Linked DNA regions of Callithrix jacchus. The protein of the gene in region 1 purifies or fractionates together with the protein of each later gene. This does not show direct contact. Links are inferred from orthologs where the notes say so. Each region holds a gene or a part of one and is shown on either strand. Other genes may lie near its edges.

The links.
Region 2: the proteins of KLHL15 (region 1) and NUDCD3 purify together in Homo sapiens (co-immunoprecipitation; 3 studies listed by BioGRID and IntAct, with this or other methods). This does not show direct contact. The link is inferred for Callithrix jacchus from reciprocal best matches to the Homo sapiens genes KLHL15 and NUDCD3.

The regions. Positions count from the first base shown.
Region 1 is NC_133524.1:24,766,397-24,770,577, reverse strand, and holds the start of KLHL15 (kelch-like protein 15), read left to right. Parts: upstream 1-1,381; 5' UTR 1,382-1,428; intron 1,429-2,894; exon of another isoform or gene 2,895-3,505; 5' UTR 3,506-3,707; intron 3,708-4,181. UniProt on the Homo sapiens protein: Substrate-specific adapter for CUL3 E3 ubiquitin-protein ligase complex.
Region 2 is NC_133512.1:12,467,159-12,470,658, reverse strand, and holds part of NUDCD3 (nudC domain-containing protein 3), read left to right. Parts: intron 1-1,717; coding exon 1,718-1,828; 3' UTR 1,829-3,500.

The DNA.
Region 1 (4,181 bases):
TTTTTTTTATTTTTTTGAGACGGAATTTTTGCTCTGTCGCCCGGGCTGGGATACAGTGGCGCCATCTCGGCTCACTGCAACCTCCGCCTCCCAGGTTCAAGCGACTCTCCTGCCTCAGCCTCCTGAGTAGCTGGGATTACAGGCGCCGGCCACCACGCCCAACTAATTTTTGTATTTTTAGTAGAGATAAGGGTTCACCATGTTGGCCACGCTGGTCTCGGACTCTTGACTTCAGGTGATTCACCCGCCTCAGCCTCCCAAAGTGCTGGGATTACAAGCGTGAGCCACCAGAACCCGCCGAAAATTAACATTTCAAGACAGGAATTACCTGGAGTTTATTTAAATGAGAGGGTTTTGGCCGGGCGCGGTGGCTCACGCCTGTAATCCCAGCACTTTGGGAGGCCGAGGCGGGTGGATCACGAGGTCAAGAGATTGAGACCATCCTGGTCAACATGGTGAAACCCCGTCTCTACTAAAAATACAAAAAATTAGCTGGGCACGGTGGCGCGTGCCTGTAATCCCAGCTACTCAGGAGGCTGAGGCAGGAGAACTGCCTGAACCCAGGAGGCAGAGGTTGCGGTGAGCCGAGATCGCGCCATTGCACTCCAGCCTGGGTAACAAGAGCGAAACTCCGTCTTAAAAAAAAAAAAAAAAAAAAAAAGAGAGTTACTTTCCTTGATATTGGAAGAGCAGAATGTTTTATTAAGGTACTACATCTTTTTATATATTACACACTACTTTTTAATTTTAATTTTTGATTGAGATCGAGGGTCTTGCCACGTTGCCCTAGCTGGTCTCAAACTCCTGAGCGCCAGAGCGCGGTGGCTCATGCCTGTACTCTTAACACTTTGGGAGGCCGATGCGGGCGGATCGCTTGAGCCCAGGAGTCTGCGACCATGCTGGGCAACATGGCCAAACGCCGTCTCTACAAAAAACAGAAAAGTTAGCCAAGCATGGTGGGGCACACCTGTGGTCCCAGCTACTCGGGAGGCTGAAGTGGAAGGATCGCTTGAGCATCGGAGGACAAGGTTGCAGTGAGCCATGATCGCGCCTCTGCCCTCTAGCCTGGCCGAGAGTGAGACCATCTCAAAATAATAATAATAATAATAATAAAATAAAAATAAGAAATAAGAGTGAAAGAGGCATCATTGATTAAATATAACTTTTGGAGGTGGTTTATATAGTAAATGTCTAGATTGATTGAAAGACCCAGCCCAGTTTCAGAAACTACAATAAATATTCAAAAAAGCACATTTGAAATTCCACATGTGAGACCTTGTAATGTCAACATAAGGGAGGGCGGGGGAGGGGGCATGGTGATCACACTATGGCTTATGACATCACTCACTACATTTATACCTGCTGCACAGAATGCAGAAACATTTCAGCTCTTGCCTGAATCAAGAACAGAAGCCTCTCTTTAGACAGGTCAGTGCCACATAGTAATGTATAGATTAAAATATATGTCTGTTGGTTAATGTACAAAAATCAAAATTCAAGCGTTTAGATGTTTGGGAATAATGTATGAAAATTTAAATATTCAGAAGTTGAATGTATGCGTTTTAAAAGTTTATTTTAAGGTTTTAAAAAATTTGTGTTAAGGGGATAAATTCTGGGGTAATTTCATATATTAGATACAAATACAGCAAGCAAGGATTTTTAAATAATGAACAGAAATATCTTAAAGGAGCTATTAGAAAAGATGGAAAGAATGTGTGAACAACTTGGGAATTTCAGTGTCTTATAGTTTTTTAAAGCTTGTTATAGTTTAAATCATAATAAGGAAGCTTATTTCCAAAAGACTGAGGTGATTCTGTTATCTTTCCCACGAAGTAGTCTACTTCAGCAAAACAGTACACCGTGTGCTATTTTGGCCTCTTGGGAAAGATGGCACGTTCAAGTTTGCTAGAAAGAGATAATGATCGCTTTTAGCGACACATCTCACGGAAAGTTCATCGGGATATTGGTCTAGAGAGAAAATGGCGGCGGGGGGTGGGGGTGGGGGAAGCCGAAATACCCCAGTTTAGGATCAGCAATGGCAATGGATGCCCTAATTTAAGGTTAATTGTAGAACCACGGGCTTCCAACCGTGCATTTCCGTCACCTACACTTTTCTCACAAAGATATTGCATAATAAATTTACAAAACAGTCCTATAGTCTAGTTTTATTTTCTAAAGTCAAGAAAAGGTTAAATTTTAAAACTATTAGCTAGAATTCTATAGCTGATGTGTTAAAAACGAACAAAAAAAAATCACTACCCTCTGAATGTTCGTTCTTTATTATTTTGACGCAAGTAGAGACAGAATAGCTTTTTTAGATCCGGCATTTCTCCGGGTAGTGCAGACATGCCATTTTTATTAATTTTCCCACCCCTGGGAAATCGATTTCTGAAACGTGTAATTCTTGTGCAGTGAGCCAAGTGGACAGTGACGCAATAATCCACTGCAAGTTGCCTTACAAAAAATGATGTCATTTGGCGCAGATCTAGTCACTTTTATAACAGGTAGTAATGGCAAAGCTCCCTACACGCTGTCCCCGATTCCCCCACCCCCACCGTGGCAAAGATGCAAAAGGACACTTTCCTGGCTTCCTAGCCCTTAACTTGTCGAGGGTGGGCGCACCGCAGTGGCTCCCGGCCCAGCGCTCGTGCCGGGGGAGAGGGACCGCTGCAAGGGGACGAGGACAGCTGAGCGTCCTCAGCCCCGACGGCGGCGCCGTAGGGAAAGCTGCGTCGGGCCAAGCCCGGGGCCGCGACGCCCGGTCGCCTGTTTACCTCAGTGGGGCACCGCTGGCGTGGCGGGCCGGCGGCCGGGACTCGAGGCGCAGCGGGCGCGGGACAGCCTTCCCCGCCCCCTCCCCCCGTTCCCACACCCGCTCCCGCTCCCGTGGCGCCGGAAGTGACGCGCTTTGGACTGAAAGATGGCGGCATTGGCGCTCGACCAGGGGGAAGGTAAACACCCGCCAGGCCGCGCGCTGGCTCCCTCGGGGCGCCAGCAGGGGCCGAGGGGCCCTCCCGGGCCAGCTTCCCGCTCCCCACCCGGCTTCCCACCCTCCCCCCGAACTCCTAGCGTGGCGGGCTTCCGCGTCTAGACAACCGCGCACGGGGGGCCCCCTGCCAGGCAGCCCCGCCTCCCTGGGCGGGCCTCGGGCGGCTCCCGCGGCCCGGAGCGGTCCCCGGCTCGTGGCCCTGCACGCCCCGCCCCTTTCCCGCCCCTTTCCCGCCTTCCTCCACCCCCGGCGTGGGTGATCCCGAGGCTCGGCGCGCTTCGGGGCAGAAGCCCGGAGACGCCGTCGTTGACGCTGCGACCGCTGGTGCTTCTCTCTCTGCCCGCTGCCCCCCAGCCCTTTCCTCCGCCCGCGGCCCCAGTCGGTCCTCCCGCCGAGCCCCGCCGGGTGCTGCAAAGACCCCGGCGTTGGCAAGGCCGGTCCGGGCGCCGACGCCGCGCCGCCTCGTGTGGAGCCCGACTGTCTGGTTTCGCGACTCAGAGGTGTCTTCCTTCCCAGGACTTACTCAGAGGGGGCTGCAGGCGAGCACACTTGTGCCCCGCCGGAGCGACCCGGCTCGGGCCGCGAGCGGCTGCTCGTAGACGTCCGAGAAGCCTGCCGAGTGCCTTCCCGGCGCCCGACCGCCCACCCATCGGCCTGCCGGCCCCGTTCTTCCTAATGCGGACTGCCGTCCACTAGAGGTTGGACAGGACCCCCAGAGGTACGTAACCGCCCCCGGTCGCCGGCCTGCGGAGCCGGGGCTTCGCCCGCGGCCCCGAGCTAAGCACGAATTCTCCGGCCGTCTCTGCACGGACGCGAGTCAAACATTTGATAGACGCCGGGACCTCATTTGTCTTTGAGTTTACTTAAATTGTTTGAAATGTAATTTCTTTTTCCCGGAGAGAGCGAGAAAGAAAAAGGAAGAAGCATAATTCAGCCATTTTTTGCAGCACACAGCTGCAGGTACCATGATTATTTTTTCCCTAACGCGTTCCTTTCCTTTAACAATTCTATTTATGCTTGAAATAGAACTACGCGGAATGCGAGGCATAAAACTAGGAATCGGAAGGTCTGGGTTCGACTTGGGTGACTCTGAGGAAAAATCGCGTACCAAGCCTCTGTTTCTTATCTATGAAATATACTCAGTACTACCAACCTCTCAGGGTTGAGAGGACTATATGAGGTCATATATGTG
Region 2 (3,500 bases), on another chromosome or scaffold:
GACACACAGGAATGCCTGCAGTCCACTTTTGTCTCAGGAAAGGTCTGAGTGCTGATCTTGACACCCTGTGCTCCTTCTGTTGTAAGATCAAGTCTACTAATCTGCCCTTTGCACTCTGGGCATCCTACATCGGGCCCCCATTCAGCCACCCAGTTCCCAGGGTACGAGTGTGGTGGCTGCAGGGTTCTACAGCTGTCATTTGCCCTACAGCTGGCCAGGATTCTTTTGAAAGGTTCAGAGGCTTTGTGCAGCTGCCTGCTGAAGTCATCCGTTCTTGTGTTTGGTTGAGGCTGTCCAGCCTCATACCTCCAGTGGGCAGAGGAGGGGGCTTCATGTAGTCTTCTCTGTACCCCTAGCCACTCCATGTGTGCTGCAGGACCTTGTTCTCAAAATGGTCTTTCTAAAGTCTCTGATGTGAATTGCCCACAAGAAATTGATAGTAATGTCAATTAATCTGTAGTATATAGTACACATCTTTGATATGCTTGTTGCTGCATCACTTCGATTTTAAAAAAAGAAAAAGAAGCCAAGTATGGTGGACTGCACCCGTAGTCTTAAGTACTCAGGAGGCTGAGGTGGGAGAATCGCTTAAGCCAAGGAGTTTGAGGCTGCACTGAGCTGTGACCACACCACTGCACTCTAGCCTAGGAAACAGTGAGACCCCATCTCTAAAAATTAAAACAGCAAAGAGAAAACTCTCTTGTCAGGAAGACTGTGTTTTATGTAAGGAGAAGCCCTGGCGTTGAGAGCCCCACAGCCTCATCTTCTGGGCCTAGGCTACAGGGTTTTCTGCAACAGGGACCATGGATCATATTGGTAGAGTAACTACTGGCCCTGCACAGTCTCTTTTGTCCCTGGTCAGAATGTCAGAAGGAAGGAGAGATCATCCCCAGCCCTCAGTATACTCATGGTGGCCACATGAGGAGGGCAGATACGGAGTCCCTATGAGGAGAGAGGGCCTGCTAGCTCAGGTACCGATGCTTCCCTCAGGATCCAATATTCCTAATGTCCCTTGCCATGGCCACACACTCAGGCTTGCTTCTGACCCTCGGAGGCTTGATAGTTCCAGAATAGCCAGATGTTGGCAACAGCTTAGTTAACCAACTCTGACTGCATCTGCAAGGATGCAGTGGGGAATTCCTGACTGGGGGGGTCTACCACTGGACATTCCGAAGTCTCTTCCTCCATGCCACATCCTGGGTCAACCCTGGATTGTCTGATGATCTAGTTCTTGATGTTGATAACTGGGGTGCTAGGGTATCCTCTCTGCACACCTTCATCAGATGGGGCTTGAACATTTTACGCACCTTCTCTATGACCCCAGTGGGGCTGGGACACTTCCTCTTCATGTCATAGTCAGTGCCTAGTGGGACCATAGACGTTGCAGGCTGTTTGGAATTTGTTGATTCCAAACAGATTGAAAAGGGACAAGATGAACCATGAAGAGCAGCCAGAGCTTTGCTGGGGACAGAAGATGGGGGGTTAGAAACTCAGTCTGTGGAGCACAGTCTTGCAGAGAAGTTGTTAGTCACACAGTGCCTCCCTTGGTCGAAGGCTGCTCCAGGGCAGTACGGTTCTCTGGCCAGTCAGTTTTGCCAGGTGAGTGCCTGAGCCCTGAGGAAGCAGGAAGGCTCTTTGCCTGCAGTCAGAGTCTGCTCTGGGAGAAAGTGCACAGTGCCTTGTGATCTTGTTTAATCTCTTTATTTTCTGTTTGTAGAAAGTCCATGAGATGCTGAAGAAGGGGTGGGATGCTGAAGGTTCTCCCTTCCGAGGCCAGCGATTTGACCCTGCCATGTTCAACATCTCCCCAGGGGCTGTGCAGTTTTAATGACCAGAAGGAAAGGAAACCCTCACCGGTGGGGAGGCAGAGGCCTTGTCCTCAGCCGCCCTCCTCGGCTCCCCCTGTGTTCTAGGGACTTGTTCGTCTTGTTTACCCCTAGCCATCCTTTCAATGGTGAACCAGGCCTTCCACCCTGACCTTGCATCTCCAGACTGTTCCAGAGAAGGTGCAGTGACAGCTGCTGTGTGGTGGCCGCTGTGGCTGACACTGAGTGAAGGTGTTTGAAATGCAAGAGAGGATATCCCAACAAATTGGGATCATGTGCTTCTGTCTCCACAGCAACCAGCCACTGCAGGCAGCATGTCTTTCCCCTGCTCTCTGCTTGCTGTTGTTTTGACGCTGTTCTGCTTGCATGTGTTCTGGTTGGGGTGTAGAGTTGTTGCTGGGCTCTCAGGCGAAGCTGAAGTCATTGAAGTGTGTGAAGCTCAGTGCTTGCATGAGGGCAAGCAAGGAATGACTGTGCAACTGTGCCTGGGGCTGCTTTGGGAAGCTCCTTGCCCCTTGACCTCTTTCGGGAGCACTGATGTGGTCTTCTTGCTTATCCCCTTATAAATGTGCTCTGCCTGCCTCAGCGTCATGGTCAGAGCAGTGGAAGCTGGAGCCCTGTTTGCACATTCTAGATGTTGGGAGACAGCCTAGGTTCTGGGCTCAGGTCCACATGCAATGGGGATTCTGTCTGTTCTCTGTGGCGACCATGCTTTGGTTCTTGTTGAAGTGAACCAAGCCTGGCCACCACGGCATGGCATGCCCTGCTTGGCTCCCTGTAAGATGTCCTCTTTGGGTTCACGGTGTCAAAGCGTGGGCAGGAGTGGAGAGCTAGCGCCCTCAGGAGGAGACTACAGCATGTTCATCAGCTCATCAGCAGAGCACGCCAGCCACAAGTCCTGACAAGCCTTGACCTTGAGGGGCTTCTGGGAGAAGAGGAATTTCTGCATGGGGCATGAAGGCATACTGTCCCACCACAACTGAACCAGAAGACAGTGAAGGCCCCCATCCTCTGTGCCAGGTGCCAGACTGCGCTCCCTGGAGCTTATGGCCCCATCTTACCTGTTCTCCAGGGACTGGCCACCACCTCCAAGGTGGTCGACCTCCAAGGACCTCCAAGCCCAGGCCCATGGCTGCTGACTGACTCCAGCCAAGATGCAAAGACAAGATCATGGGACAGGGCCCCAGGCCTATGCCCTGAGTACTCACAGGGGCTCTGGGTGCCTGTCACTGGGAGTATGGTTCAGCTGCCACTGGCACTGTCCATTTGCCTGTCCATCAAGCTCGGGGCATGGATAAGCCACACAGCAGGGCAGTGCACCCTGGCACCATGCACAGCCAGCAAGAATCAAGGCCCGCAGATGCTAAGAGAGCCTACCATCAGGGGAAGGACCCTGCCCCTGCATGCTCTCTCTGTGTATACTTGGGTTGCGGGGGCTGTCTAGGAGAGTAAGTTGGTGGTTGGTTTCTGATTTACAGTGGTGGCTGACAGCCCTTGTGAGAAAGCATTCCTGGAAAGTCTTCTGTAGGTCCAGACTGTTGCTCTGATCATCATGGGAGAACAGAAGACCCCATGTACCCGCTTTGGAATGTGAGAGCCTTGTCTGATATTTGCCACTGAACTGGTGAAGCCCTGCTTAAGAGCTCTTGACCCTGGGGAGCAGAACTCTTGTCA